Linked DNA regions of Oryzias latipes. The main gene of each other region encodes a partner of the protein of the gene in region 3 in a complex. Links are inferred from orthologs where the notes say so. Each region holds a gene or a part of one and is shown on either strand. Other genes may lie near its edges.

The links. The genes of interacting proteins can lie anywhere in the genome.
Region 1: prpf38a (region 3) and zmat2 share a complex: the UniProt entries of both Homo sapiens proteins name them as parts of the spliceosome B complex. The link is inferred for Oryzias latipes from reciprocal best matches to the Homo sapiens genes PRPF38A and ZMAT2.
Region 2: prpf38a (region 3) and WD40 repeat-containing protein SMU1 share a complex: the UniProt entries of both Homo sapiens proteins name them as parts of the spliceosome B complex. The link is inferred for Oryzias latipes from reciprocal best matches to the Homo sapiens genes PRPF38A and SMU1.
Region 4: prpf38a (region 3) and sf3b3 share a complex: the UniProt entries of both Homo sapiens proteins name them as parts of the spliceosome B complex. The link is inferred for Oryzias latipes from reciprocal best matches to the Homo sapiens genes PRPF38A and SF3B3.

Annotation. Positions count from the first base shown.
Region 1 is NC_019872.2:3,288,058-3,292,008, reverse strand, and holds the start of zmat2 (zinc finger matrin-type protein 2), read left to right. Parts: upstream 1-1,151; 5' UTR 1,152-1,222; coding exon 1,223-1,240; intron 1,241-2,628; coding exon 2,629-2,728; intron 2,729-2,813; coding exon 2,814-2,937; intron 2,938-3,062; coding exon 3,063-3,136; intron 3,137-3,951. UniProt on the Homo sapiens protein: Involved in pre-mRNA splicing as a component of the spliceosome.
Region 2 is NC_019868.2:28,087,898-28,092,014, reverse strand, and holds the start of WD40 repeat-containing protein SMU1, read right to left. Parts: upstream 2,801-4,117; 5' UTR 2,706-2,800; coding exon 2,680-2,705; intron 998-2,679; coding exon 787-997; intron 634-786; coding exon 481-633; intron 398-480; coding exon 287-397; intron 1-286. UniProt on the Homo sapiens protein: Involved in pre-mRNA splicing as a component of the spliceosome. Regulates alternative splicing of the HSPG2 pre-mRNA. Required for normal accumulation of IK.
Region 3 is NC_019862.2:23,723,324-23,726,346, reverse strand, and holds part of prpf38a (pre-mRNA-splicing factor 38A), read left to right. Parts: intron 1-1,062; coding exon 1,063-1,173; intron 1,174-1,263; coding exon 1,264-1,370; intron 1,371-3,023. UniProt on the Homo sapiens protein: Involved in pre-mRNA splicing as a component of the spliceosome.
Region 4 is NC_019864.2:25,095,881-25,100,020, reverse strand, and holds the start of sf3b3 (splicing factor 3B subunit 3), read right to left. Parts: upstream 2,801-4,140; 5' UTR 2,665-2,800; intron 2,093-2,664; 5' UTR 2,023-2,092; coding exon 1,953-2,022; intron 1,197-1,952; coding exon 1,041-1,196; intron 471-1,040; coding exon 300-470; intron 1-299. UniProt on the Homo sapiens protein: Component of the 17S U2 SnRNP complex of the spliceosome, a large ribonucleoprotein complex that removes introns from transcribed pre-mRNAs.

The DNA of each region.
Region 1 (3,951 bases), on a different chromosome or scaffold from region 3:
ATGCTTTTAAATAAGAGAAACAGTCAGCTTTAAAAGTTCAAACTTTAATGAAAAATGCATTGTTTTTAATTTTTAAACATTTCCAAGTTTTAGACCTCTTTGACATGTAATTGAAATTATTTAGAAAAGCCCAACAATAAGTCAATAATAATAATAAATAATAACAATATATAAATAATAAGTCAATAATAATAATAAATAACAAATATAAATAATAAGTCAATAATAATAATAATTAATAACAATATATAAATAAGTCAATAATAATAATAATAATAATAATAATAATAATAATAATAATAATAATAATAATAATAATAATAATGAATCAATAAATAATAATAATAATAAATCAATAGTAAGTCAATAATAATATTGAATGATAAAAATAAATCAATAATAGGTAAATAATAATAAATGATAATAATAAATCAATAATAAGTCAACAAAAAGTCCAAAAGTCAACAACAGATTTTCCCCTTTAAAAAAACAAAGAAAAGAAATAGATTTACCTCCTGATTCATGTTAGTGATAAATTTGTGTGACACAGTTGGTTTAGTGTCGGGTTTCAAGCTAACAGTCTGGCCAGTCTCATCAAAATCTGTTTCCTCAAATTGTTTTGAACATAGCCAGACTGTATTACTAGTTGGTACCACAGTGATCCATCTGGGTTAGCTCTTTTTATTGCTAAGGCCCACTTTTTCCTTAAGTCTGAATCCATTGGAAACCTGCAATAAAATTTCAGTCACTGAGTCAGAAATGTATAAATCTCTATTACTATAATAGCCTAGTATAATGTATACAGGTTTAACACAATAAAGTTTACATTTATATCGACAGCAAATTATACGTACATCATGCCTACATGTTGATAATCGCCCTGCAGCATCATGCATGAAAACATGTGTATGATTAATGATGCCCCTGCAGCATTAAAAGAAAAAAATATATAATACTTACCTGTGAAATGTTATGCCTTCCTCCTTCGTGGACTCATTTCTCTGATTTTGGCAGTTGAAACCCGAAAAATGAACTGGTATTTTGCAAGAAATGTGTTCACATGCATGCACTACAGCAGTAATTTGACCTCACCAAGATGGCGATGCTCTCCCCCCTTGAGGAATCACGTGATGTCTCCTCTACCGATAGAACTAAATTTAGACAGGAAACTAGCAATGACGAGCTGCAACATCCGGTGACGTATTTTCCGTAGGTAAACAAGATGGCGTCCGGCAGTGGGGTGAGTTTCCAAGCAGAATTTCTCTGCCCCTGTTTGTTGTAATACAGTTTAATTCAATAAACAAGATTAAAATTCTTCACTTTATATTTGGTACCGTGGAGGCGTTTTGACTGTAACCGTTACAGACATCAGCTGCTGCCGTTAGAAGCGCGGCCTCGGACTAGCAGCGGCTAACTCGCTCTGACGCTTGGGTACTTTATTTGCAGAATTTTACGGCCCTTTTTAAAAAAAAAAAAAATTAGTACCAAAAACGTTTTGACTCAACCGCCGTTAGTTTTTATCTTTAAAGGACTAATTCAAAGGTGTAACGAATTCCGGTGTGGCAAAATAAAAGCTCTTGAAGTTTATTTCGTAAAGCCGACTGTGATGATAATAAATGAAACTGTAATAATAAGGATAATGTCCTTTTTGGTTTTTGCAAATATGAAACAATGTTTCTGTTGCTATATTATAAAATTTATAAACCCACCCCTGTTGAAAATGTTTACTTTGATAATATGAATGAAAGGGAAGAGCTGTCGATCAATACAGACCATGAATTTCTGCTTTTTTTTTTTTTTTTTGGATGCTGGTGTGCCGCGGGATCTTTTTCAGGGTTAAAGTGTGCCGTGGCTCAAAAAAGGTTGAAAAACACTGGTCTAGAGTGACTTAGGGTTTCCTGTCCTGTAAGCACAGCTCCACCAGCAGGCGTATCCCCCTGGAGCCTGACGGCACCATGCATTTGGAGAGCTGATCAGTTTCAGGCTGCAGCTGCAGCCAGGATCAGGCTGTTGAACGGAGATTTCTGAAAAATCTAATGTTCATTATGAAGGATCTCTTTGGACTCATCTGTTTATCCAACATGGATGCTTCCCGTCAGCTGGATGTTCGGCCTGAGCCCTCCCCTTATCTCGGGTCACGGAGTAGGAACAGCCCTTTTCCCAAACACCATTAAATACGAGCAGCAGCATGGCTCACGCATAAATCATGGGTCACACGTTCCCCATGATTTGTGCGTTCATCCATACCTCTCTGAGCTTTTGGAATCTCGGTTAAGCTCATATCTTTCCCTGGAGGGACAGAGATCCAGGAGGAACCTCTGGGAAGAGCCAGCTCCTCCTGTTTGAGCTTGGAAGGTGCACAAGGCGTCAGCTCTGACAGTCCAACAGGCATCTTCACCGTCTGCATTTAAACATTCTTCTGACGAAGCATGAGGCTTTCCTGCTTTTGTTCCTTCTCTGTTGTTGTGTCTCTGTGGTTCTGTTTTAGAGTTTTATCAATGAAGTTGAGTTGAGAAGCTGTTGCTCTTTTGTCAGGAGGAGTAAAAGCTCCTCGTCTTCATCAGCTGAATGTTTGTTGAGATGTGAAGATAATCGAGGCGCTCTGAGTCATCTTCTCGTGTCTTCCAGTCCAGCAAGAACGACTTCCGGCGGAAATGGGACAAGGACGAGTACGAGAATCTCGCTCAGAAGCGGCTGAACGAGGAGCGCGAGCGGGAGCTCAGGGATGGTGAGGGCAGCGCTCTCCGTTCTTTGGGGACCCTTGGGGGTCAATCGCTTATCACCCCTGACGCATGACCTGTTGGCTCTTTCAGGAAAACCTGTCCCTCCCGTCAAGCGGGAGCTCCTGCGGCACAGAGACTACAAAGTGGATCTGGAGTCCAAACTGGGGAAAACTATTGTCATCACCAAGACCACCCCTCAGGCGGAGATGGGCGGGTGAGTTCCTGACGGCTTTGGGTTTGGAAAAATGGAAAACTGAAACTCTTTGAACCAATAAGAAAAAGTTGTGGAGCAGAAACGGACAGGTCTGGGTTCTGGTTCCGACATATTTTTTTTTTCAGATATTACTGCAATGTTTGTGACTGTGTGGTCAAAGACTCCATCAACTTTCTGGATCACATCAACGGCAAGAAACGTAAGTACACCTGTGCTTTAGGGAGGGGCCAAGAGCGCAGATGTAACGTGGATCATTTTATACAGTCAGGTCCATAAATAATGGGACAGCGACACAATTCCAACATGTTTGACTCTATATGCCACCAAAATGGATTTGAAATAAAACGAACAAGATGTGCTTTAACTGCAGACTGTCAGCTTTAATTTGTGGGTATTTCCATCCAGATCAGGTGAACTGTGTAGGAATTACAACAGTTTGCATCTGTGCCTCCCACTTGTTAAGGAACCAAAAGTAATGGTCAGAACAATAATCATAAATCAGACATTTACTTTTTAATACTTGGTTGCAAATCCTTTGCAGTCAATTCCAGCATGAAGTCTGGAACTCACAGACATCTCCAGACGCTGGGTTTCATCCCTGGTGATGCTCTGCCAGGCCTCCAATGCATCGGTCTTCAGTTCCTGCTTGTTGTTGGGGCATTTTACCTTCAGTTTTGTCTTCAGCAAGTGAAACATTGCATAACATTCCACTTCTTTCCCTTAAGAAGGCCTTTAGTTGCGGTTGCAGTTTGCTTTGGGTCATGGTCCATCTGCACTGTGAAGCGCCGTCCACTGAAGCATTTGGCTGATCATGAGCCCAAAAGCCTTCAGAATTCATCCTACTGCTTTTGTCAGCGTTCACATCATCAATAGATAGAAGAGAACAGTTCCATTAGCAGGCATACATGCCCACGCCATGACAATACCACCACCATGCTTCACTGATGAGGTGGTATGCTTAGGATCATGAGCAGTTCCTTTCCTTCTCCATACTCTGGTAGAGGTTGATCTTAG
Region 2 (4,117 bases), on a different chromosome or scaffold from region 3:
CAGAAAAGTGATTCAAAAGCACTAAATTGTGTGTCGGGGAGCAGTTACTTTGTCCAAAGAGATTTAGAAAGTTTTTCTAATCCAATAGATTTAAATAAAACAAAACTAGAGAAGAGAAAACGCCTATAGGTTTGTCATTTAGCACACGATTTGACAAATTTCAAGAGTCCTTCAAATATTGCAGCACCAAAGGAACCTCCGGTTTCCTGGGGTATTTTTGTCGTGTGTAAACAGTTGAAGTCTTGTCAGGAAGTGGGCGAAAACAGTTGCTTTTCAGGTTCCTCACCTGTCCCAGCAGAGCCATGAGACGGGATGGAGGCACCACGCTCACTTCTCCGGCCAACGCCTGAGCAATGGCCGCCCGGCGCTTCTCCTTACTGCTGCCGTCAGGATACGCCTGGATAGAGCGCACGGTCCAATCAGTCCCCGGTTACGGACAAACACGAACGCGCTCGCGTTCTTTGAATCTCGCAGCCTCACCTCTCGGGGATCAAAGTAGGAGCGGGCCAGCAGGTTCTCCAGGTGGATGTATCTCTCCGGTTGGGTCTGCTTCAGCATGATCATGGGGTCCGTCTGTCTGAGGAGGGAACGCGCCGCGCCGAGCTCTCTCAGCTCTATCAGCTCCAACACGACCTGAGGAAGGAGCAAGAGGAGACGTGAGAGGAGACCAGGTGAGTCCGAACAGACCTGGTTTCATGAAGTGGATGTTTGGTTCCATCTTAGTGCTCCTTTAGAAAGCAGGATGATATCGAACAGGACAAAGAACTCCACAAACACCAAGCTCACCTGCTCATAGAGGTCGATCAGGGTTTTATCTGGCAGCTTGAGGGACTGGATGGCCTGCAGGACGGTATCCCAGTGTCCGCTGTTGATGTCCGCTACAAAACTCTCGATGCTGTCCACCGTGTTCAGAGACACCGTGGTCTCCTCCTGCAGGGAGGCGAGGGTCCGGTGCAGATTGTTCTCCTTCAAGTACTGCATGATCAGACGGATCACGCTGGGGAAAAGACAAATGGCTGTTCAGTCCCCTCGAAACATCCAGAAACAAAAAAGCAGTTGCTGCCTTCAGGAACTTGCTTGTTCAATGACGCAATCGTCTAGGGATCAAACTTTTACTGCCTAAAACTCCATGAGGAGCAGCTTTTACAGCAGCAAAATATATCTTTGTATTTGAGCAGTTTTTACAAAAACGTCACTATTGGAGCTATGATTTGTTGTCTATGACAGACCATCATAAAAAAACTAAACTTATGAGGATAAAGTTATAAAAAAATTTACAAGAATTCAAGGAGTTTTTATTGCCATTGTCAACAATTGAACAAAGCAGTTTCACAGACTAGGATTTTGCTGCAGTGCCACATAAAACACTTAAAAATAAAAAAATAAACAACAGTAAGAAAAAAAATAACAATGGTCAGAAATATGGGGGGAAAAAGGTCAAAACTTTATGAGAACAAAATTGTAAGTCTATGATTTAACCAGCTCTACGTTGACAAGGTCAAAGTCAGTCATAAAAAAAGTTGTAATTTCATGTAAAGAAAAGGTGTAAATCAATAAAAAAAAAAGCAGATTCATTTAAATTATTCAGCGGTGTGATTTTTCACAATTTAACTACTTTGTTCTTTTAAAATGTTGACATTTTCTCACAATTTAACAACTATTCTCAAAGAATTTGGTAAATTTCTCACATGTTCTACGACATTATTCAACCAGTAATAAAATTTGAACTTTTTCCTGATCATTTTACACTTCTATCTTGTTTCATTTAAACTTTCTATCAATTTTACGCTACACAATTAGTGTAAATTTAGGACTTTATTGAATAGTTTTACGCAACTTCTTTCTTATAATTTATTTTTAGGAAAGTTGGAGTTTATTGTTAAACATTTGTTTATTTTTTATGGTGGCTCTAAAACTTAGTTGTCGTATGACAATAACACAAAATATTTAGACAATTTTACTATAAATGCAGCAGAAAGAAGAAATCTATTAATGAATGAAACTCTCAGACAAATACACAAATAAAACTTTGGTAACTTTTGATTTTGAACATTTATAACTACTGTATAAAAAATAAAGAATAAAAGTTCATGTCACTTGTCAGTGAAATAAATAATATTGATATTCAAATAAAGGAAAAAGTTCCATCTTAAACTCCCTAATGAACGAAACTAGGACTAATAATTAGCCGGACCGTCCATAGTCTGAATAGTTTTAGTTAACAGAAGACGTTTTTTATCATTTTAATTATAAAAGAAAATTATAAAAATCAAATTATACAAACATTTGTGCTGAATAGAGCCTAAATTAAACGTCATCTTCATCCTCGTCCGTGTTGTGCCGACCCTCGCATTAGCATCAAAGTTAGCATTAGCATCGTTAGCTTACGTCAAAAGTACTTTTATTTAATCGTCAAGTTGTAGTTCCTGCTGCCCAAAAGTAGCAATGATAAGTAACGCACATATAAGCACAGTCTGTGCCTTACTGGTGCATTTAGAGAACAAAAAAAATAGTTTAAATGGTCCACATTTACGGTACTTCACGAGGCTAACGACAGTTCACTTTAGTCAGGATGAAACAGGCCTCAGCTACGATACTGCTAGGACATATAGAATTATGAGCCGCTAAATTATGCCAATAATAATTAACACATTAGGAAATTTTAAACAAAATACTCACTCTGCAGATTCCACCTCTATAGACATGATGATTTATCTGAAACCTGCAGCCAGAAACACTCATGCAGCAAAGGAGGAGATACGGAAGTGATGGATGAGGCGACTGCACTTCAAAATAAAAGCCTGAATGGAATTTGTCTTGACAGCTCACAGACACTTCCGGTTCTGAGGCTGTTAGAATACTAAGGACTTTTAAATCCTCATGAACACATTTTAACTCTGTCCTTTAAAAAAACACCAACAGTGTTTAACAAATATCCAATCAAAAATCTTTACGTCTGCAAAATCCAGTCAATTCATATTTTTTATCCTAAATATGTTTGACATATGTATAGAAATACATCTATTCTTTTTGTCTTTATTTTTTTTGTTTGCCTATTCGTTTTCATTGCTTGAAAATAAACCAGTTGATTAGATAAACAACGTTTGATTCTACATTGCAAAAATCTGAACTGTCACACAAAAAGAAGAACATTTGATTTTAGTGCATTGTGTCTTTTTACATCTACCCAAATAAAAAATCACCTTTGGATTGAGCAGCAGAATTGAGGATAGACTCTCAGAGAAAAAGCCAAAAGTCTTGAGTTATCTCTTATTTTGTTGTTGGCTCTTGTTTGATTGATACATCTGCTGCAGTGGTCGGTTTGTGTTGCTCTTCTTTTGAGGTGAGCTCTAGCTCATCCACAAACCGAAAGCCAAGTTTCACACAGAAAGGAGTCAAAGATGGAGATGAACCCCAGAATGACAACTACTACAAATCCTAAGGTTTGCAGAACAACCCCTGAAAAGTGCTCACACTTCTCTAAACGCTTTCAGCAGTGAAGTGCCCTGGAACCTGGAATCAAAATAAAGTCTACGTTCAGAATGCTGCAGGGTAACATCTTTGGGCAGAGGCAGTATGATGGTATGGGGCTGCCTCATAGCAAAAAAGCAAGACTTTTTATCATCAGAGAAATTATTTTTAGCCTTTCAGCCATTACAAATGTTTTTAAAAATAATGAGGCTCCAGTTTGTTAAAATAACCTCTTCTTCTAGATTTAAATCCACCAAATAAGAGGGAACTACACACAGGGTCACCGCTGGTCTTGGAAATGCAGAATCATCATAAAGTAATATTTTTTAAAAAAAAGTGATAAAAGATTCATTACTTTTAATAAAAAAAATGTTACAACACATAAATACTAGCAAAACATTTCACTGCTCTTTGTGTGAAACATTAATTAACATTTATAAAACTGACAGTAAGGGTGAAGAGGAAACTCTTACAATAGGTTATAAAAAAGTGCAAAACCTAAAAAGTTTTGATGAAAGTAAATATTTAGAACAAAAAAAGACTTAAAAAGTTTAATTAATATTTTACCCAATTTTCAATGTTTGTTTGGTGTCAGTAAATATTTATGTCATATCAAATCACACTTTCAAATGGATTTCATTCCGAT
Region 3 (3,023 bases):
GTTGTACAGTAATGTACAACTATCAGTTGTAGATTTAGAATGTCATACTTGTTTTATCTTTTAAATAGTGCATTTTAAATTTGTAATCTTTAAAAGAAAAAAACTGTCAGTTATACATTTTATTGAAGCTACTGGACCAGTTTTTTTTGGGGGGGGTGTCTATATTTTCCGAAAGCTCTGTAGTCTGTCTCAAATTTATGTTTTAGTTCATGGGGAAAGCATTGGATAGAAATGAAATTAGGGCAAATAGTTTTTCTACACAGTTACCGAGAAATGTGTCTGAAAGAGGAATTTTTTTGTGTTTTTATATTTACTTTAATCGGTTTCAAATCATATTCGTAACCATTTGGATTTTGTTTTTCATTAAAAGGCTTACACCATTCAAAATCAGGTTTTTGAGCTTTTAAGTGTATTGTAATGTTTATTTCTCACTATAAACCCCAAAGCGGTGTTTTGATCCGTTTACGCATTTCTGGGTATTCCTCTAAAAATCTGCATTCTGAGCACCGGCGCCTCCTAACCCACGAAAACGAGCGGGTCCTCACATTGTGACATCATTAAGTGGAGAACAGTCGAAGGGGCAGGAAGAGTCTGCACTGCCAGCACCGCCCCCAGGCTAACACACAAACAATAAATTAAAAGATAAAATAATCAAACATTGATTAAAAATAAACATCAATGCTACTTGCACCTCACGCTTCCCAGCCTGATTTCTCTCTATTAAAATGCGAGCACTAACCTTTGAAATGTGTTTCCTTTATTATTTTGTAATAAATTATTTTGTTGTCATCATTTTTGTGGTTCATTGCAATACATCGTGTCCCCGTTTGTAATTCTTTGCGGACTTTGGACCTCGTCGTTTCTTCACCAAACAAGTGAAGACTCAATGTGTAGTAATGGCGCTTGTGTGTCATGCCGTATGTCCCGTGACGGCCAATCCAGTAACAAATAACAATGAACAAAGATGTAACAACAGTTTTGTCTTTGAGAATTTTTGAGTAAAAACAAACAAGTGACCCCTTTCCTCCATAAAGTCATCGTATCCTTTCCTGTGTGTCACAGAGGAGGCAGGTCCTGGAGGAGGCAGAGATGCTGGACCCTCGGGTCAGCGCTTTGGAGGAAGACCTGGATGAAGTGGAAAGCAGTGAGGAAGAAGATGAGGAGGACGAAAAGGTAACGGCCTTTGATGATGTGTTGATCTCTTGGTTTGGCCGAATATCATTGCAGGAGTTATAACTCCGTGTTTGCTTTCCGTGCCCACAGCCAGAGCGACTGCACTCCCCCGAACCTCACAGGCGGAGTTACCGTGACAACGACAGACCTCGCCGCTCACCGTCGCCACGTTACAGACGCAGCCGCTCACCCAGACGGTGGGTGTTGTCTCAGATCTTATGTCGTTCATGTACAGTGCTCAGCATAAATGAGGACACCCCACTACATTTGTCCGAAAACCTTCAGTGTTCTTTTGGAATTAACATTTTTCTACACAGGTGGACCATTGATTGCAAACCAGATATTTTAAGTTGCACACAAAAACGTGTGTTTTTGTTTTTTGACCTAACAAATTAGGTCACGCCCACGTTGTAAAAAGGAGTACACCCCAGTCAGAGTCTTAGGAGAAAAGCCAAACTTAAGACTACAGAATTCTAATTATCAGGCATTCAACCACAAGTGAGTCTACTGATTCATTTAAGACGTGTACAGCACAGAGGTGGCTAGAAAAGAGCATTTAACCAAAGAAAAGCCTGTCCTTTCTCAGATATTGTGACATTTCTTTTCCATGGGTAGCTATCGGAGACAGCATGAAATGGGAAGGGCTTTTTGGATCGTAATCTAAAAATTTAAGAAAGATGGAAGTGCAACCATCTTACAGAGACGTCCAGGCCGTCAACAGAAGCTAACATCTGAACAGGAGCGTCTTCTGATGAGAAAGGTTGAAGAAAATCGCCACTGTAGTTCACTGCAGTTAGCTAAAGCAGTAGAACGCCAAACTGGAGTGACCGTTTCCCGTGACACCATCCGGCGCACGCTGCAGAGGAATGGCACGCATGGTTATTGTCCACGAAAGAAGCCTTTCCCAAAGCCCGTGCACAAAAAAGCACGTCTAGAATTAGCTAAAAAAGATAAAGGCCTCAATACTCTGAAGTGATGAGACAAAGATCCCCCTTTTTGGAACTAATGGTTTTAAAACTATGGTGTTGCTGAAGTGAGAATTTCAAAGAAAAATGCATGGTGCCTACAGTGAAACATGGTGGTGGCAGTGTGCTGATGTGGGGCTGCTGGTGTCGGGGAGCTGCATTTCATTGATGGCATCATGAACTCAACAATGTACTGCTCTATACTAAAGGAGAAGATGCTGCCATCACTTTATGCACTTGGTCAAGGAGCACTTTTCCAACACAACAATGATCCAAAACACACTCCTGAAGCTACTGCTGCATTTCGGAAGAACAGGGTGAAGGTGATTGGATGGCCAACAGTGTTAGAAATAAGGGGGAAAAAATGGTTGTCCGAGGCAAGTAAACTTGGTTGTCCTCCCCAATTTTTGGTTTTCCTTCGATACCAATGAATTCAACAGCAACTAAACCTACTCAGATGTCAGTACTTACATCTTTATTTCTTCTATACATCTAATATTAACTGCCTCTTATGATGGACATTTAAAAAACTCTTTAAAATTAAAAACAAACATTTTACTAAATACTGAAGCATCTGGTTACACAAAGTATTGCCAAAAACTTGAAACCAATATCTTTATAACTAGTATCTTTACACAGATTTAAATATATTGGTTATTTTTTTCTTTGGTTTTTGATAATTGTTCCTTAAAGAATATAAAATACCAAAACTGTTGTAAAAAATTTAGAATATTATATCAATCCCATGGAAAAAGTTTTTTTTTCCAGCTCATGTCAGTCTGTTCTGTTATGAGTGAAAGTTATAGTGTTTATGAATGTGTTTTAAATCTTTTTGCGTGTTTTTGGAGACCTCTAGCGGTCGCGCCAGGTACTGTTGTTCAACAC
Region 4 (4,140 bases), on a different chromosome or scaffold from region 3:
TTTTTCAACTATGTTTGCAACCTTCTGTTCAGTTTCAATCGATCATTACAGAGAACCTGCTTCATTGAAAAAGTTGCACAAATTCATTTTAAATTAATTAAACAGCAGAGAGAAAACCAAAAATATCTCTCATTTCAATATCTCTCATTACTTCAAATGTATGAAATCTTCACTTTAATTGATCTTTTGCACTCTGTGTGTTTGCTACTCTTTGAAAATTACACATGGAACCATTTGAAATTGTGAAGAAGAGAATACTGAAAGAATGCGCATTTAAAGGACACGCTAAGAACTCTCACCTATCATGACAGCTCTGCCTTTAGGGTCTACAGCCAGGTATTGTCCCGGGACGATCCGTCTGCAGCCGCTCTTCCCAAAGGTTTCCTGGTGGATCTTCTCAAACATGTTTTTAGATGGATGATACTCCAGGATGACGATGCGTCCGCTGTCACTTCCAACAACAATATAATCTACAAACAAACAAATTAACCAAACACACGCTTTGAGAATTTGTTTTGAAAATGAGGATAAAGTAAACGTGAAAAAAGGGCTTCCTGCTAGCTTAAGAGTTTTGACCTTCATCAAACACAGTCACTGAAAACTGACAGCTTATATTTGGGGGAAGATCTCTGTCCAGAGTAAACCAAACCAGAGCAAAACACACACAAAGCTTCAACAGTAACAGTTAACTGACAGATTACTGAGAAACATCACAATTAATGACAAGAAGAAACAGTTTTCAAATCATTTTCAGCAGCACAAATATCAAAAGCAAACCAAATCAAGTGATTCAATAAGCAGCAACATTTCTTTCTAATCCTTTGGTACCTAAACACCTAATTTTACAGGATAAAGTTCAATGAGGAGAGTGAAGCTTATTTTATTCCTCATCATTAAAATTAAGCGAAAGAATCACATACAAAAATCTGTAAATCAGTACCAAAGCCTTTTTAGAATAAACTCTGACCATTCTTTTAGGAAAAGCAAAATCAGCAAATCTTTCACCTGTAACATATTGTTAAATAATGATGGTTACATACCTTTAGTTCCTCCTGTGAGTCTGAAGGCCATCAGCGATCTCACAATACCAAACACTTCCATTGTGAGGAGTGTGTGCACTTTCCCCGTGTTGGCGTCTGGGCGCAGTAACTCCAGGATCTTTCCTCTGGAAACTACAATCTCCTGCATTTTGGTTCCTAAATAATGAAAAACAAAATGTATTGACATTAGATAAGACGTTTGTGAAGAAAAAACAATCAGCTTTGTGTTGAACCATTTGACAAATGTGTCTATGAAGACTCTCATTCATCCAGGTCGATTCCATAATAGGAGTAGGTTTAGAGGCCGTCATTTGTACTTTAAAGTTAGAAGATGTTTCACCTCTTATCCAAGAGGCATTGTCAATTCTGAATTGGCTGTAAAAGAGCTGGTATAGATGCGCTCATGGGGGAGGAGTTTCAGGTCTGACTCCTCCCCCATGAGCGCATATATACCAGCTCTTTTACCCGCCCCTAAACCTACTACTATAATTTGACAAATGAATTTATTTAGGACAATGAAGGAAAAAAAATAACTTATGTCTTTGTTTTCATGTAGATGCCAAGTTAAGGTCTACTTAAGGTAGATTTGGAGAAGAAATGGTTTAATGGATATTTGCATCAATAGGCATCAAAGGATTAAGGGGAGAATGGCACATTTTGGAGTGAAGAAAGGAGTTTATGGTCTGCAACTATAGTACCTACATACTACTACAAGCTTTTCCCAGTAGCATTTTTGTCTGCTACCAATTCCCAATTATTTGAATAAAGAAATACTCAGAAATGCAATTTAAAGCTTAATTTTCTTAGTGTAAGTCCAGCATGGAAAGAACGTATTAAAACACAGCTTTCATTGGTGTGGGTCTTGAGTGACAAAAGCAGTGGAAGGCCGTCATAGTACCGCTAGAAGCTCACCTGAGAAGTTTCCATGGATGGCATGGCTGATGCCGGTAGCGCGCTGCAGGGTGATGTTGTACAGAAACATGATTGCTGGTCAGTTGTTTCTACACAACGACCTTCTGGAGCGGCTAACTGAACCTTAGCCCGGGTGAAAGCTACAGGAAAAAAATTAAAAAGTATATTTACCAACTCTGCACAAAGATGTGACAAGTGACACGCAAACTAAGCAACTTTTAGTATCAGGCACGTAAAATGTCAGGGAAAAGACGCACGTTGAACTTGGTGAAACAGATCAAACTTAAACAATTGTCTAAATACAACAAGAAATAAACACTGAAGTATGGGATTTGAGGACGGGAAGGGGTTATATTTTGTTTACACACTTCACAGCAACTGCCAACATTAGCTAGCTATTTTGTAATAGCATTAGGCTTTACCTTTTTAGCATTTTACACAATATGTTATTTAACGACCACGAGACTGTGGCGTATACAACTCGAGCATTGCTGTTGCGATATCCCAAAAAAGGTTTAAAGGGAAAAAAATTAATATGAAAGGAGTCATTATTCAGTCTGCTAGCTTGGGGGAGCCTATTCATTCAAGGCGCCACTTTTACCGATGAATCTACAGCTGTGCAGCTTTTTCACCGATATTTTTTACACATTAAAAAAAATATAAAGCTCAACAAGTTGAACGGTGATGCAGATTTGTAAATTGAAACTTTTACCAGTGGGCTCAAAGAGATGATTCAGATTCCAAAGAGATTTAACTTCATGAAATAGAACGTTTTTCTTTAGCTCCGACGACAAGAAGCCGTTGGAGGGTCCTTCGCTTTGCGATACGTAATGGATATAGGTGGCCCGCCCGATGCCTGACAAGAATCAAGAGCTGTTGATGAGTTAAACGTCCACGAGGTGTCGACAAAGACCAGTGAGTCTAAAATACCACGAATAGCTTAAAACTCAAGTATGGTGAAGCGTGAAAAAAACGTACAAATGTTAAATTTAAAAGGGTGGAAATAGGACAAATGCAATATTTAGAAACGAATGGACATTTGTTGAGCAGCGCATTTGAAACCAATGTTACAATTATTTATTTTAGCTGTTTTTATTGTCTATGTTGCTACGTGTGCATGTTGCAGTGATAGATACATGGCTGTGATTCCTAAATGTATTTTTTTGATTTGACCAACATTTTGTTTATTTGAATAAGTGTGAAACGTATTTATTTTGGTCATGTTGTTTTTAAGTATTTCATTTTTGAGAGTTTTTATTCCACTACCAATCATACTATGACCGTCATTCATAATGAAAATTATTATAATAAGAATAATATCAATATTAATTATAATTACGGGCATTCAGGGAACCTACAGAGGGATATTTTGCATAATTTGTTGACAATACAAACATTAAATTATGAAAAGCTCAGACAGGAAGTTGTAGTTTTGGCTCGCGCAGATGAAAGTGGCAGCCGCCGGGCTCAGTGTGAATCTGCTCTCCCTTAAAGAAACCGAGCCGCGCCGCCTCTCGGTTTGTAGCAAAGGGTCGTCCCGACGAACGAACAGTCTCCAGTTGCCTCCCTCCCTCCCACCCTCCCACCCATTCCGTAATGCCTCCGTTTCCCCGTGTCTTTCTTAGCAGGCTTTAGCCTCATGAAACATTAGTTGTTGCGGGTTTAGCAGCCCTTGTCTCCTTCACCCAAGGGTTATTGAAATTCCTCAGCTTGTTTTTCCCCGGAAACATTCAGCCATTTAGATTCAGACGGCGTGACTGCACGCTGGGAGCGCGCCGTTAGACGCCCGAAGAGCAGCATCAGCAGCAGCAGCAGCATCAGCGCACGAGGAGCGGCTGGAGGACGCTCGTGCCCCGCCAGTGCATCGAGGTGAGTCCCCCCCCGCGATAAGGGCATCTTTAAACCAGACAAAGCGTCGAGGTGGCTCATTCTGAGGGGTGATGATGAAGGTGCATCCCTCTTCCTCTGGCGTCAGCCGCTGATGTCGAAGGCCATCGTCCTGCATGTGCATCTCAGAATAAAGTGGCTTCAAACATGGACTACTTCCATTTGATTTCTGCCACCGGTTGGATCTTTCCAGGGTAAAAATGCAAAAACAGGCCGGTTGAGAGGACGCTTTAGGTCTGTTTCTACGTTTGAGCAGAAAACATGCTGCTAAAGCCTAAACGTGGACCATTTAGTATGGGGC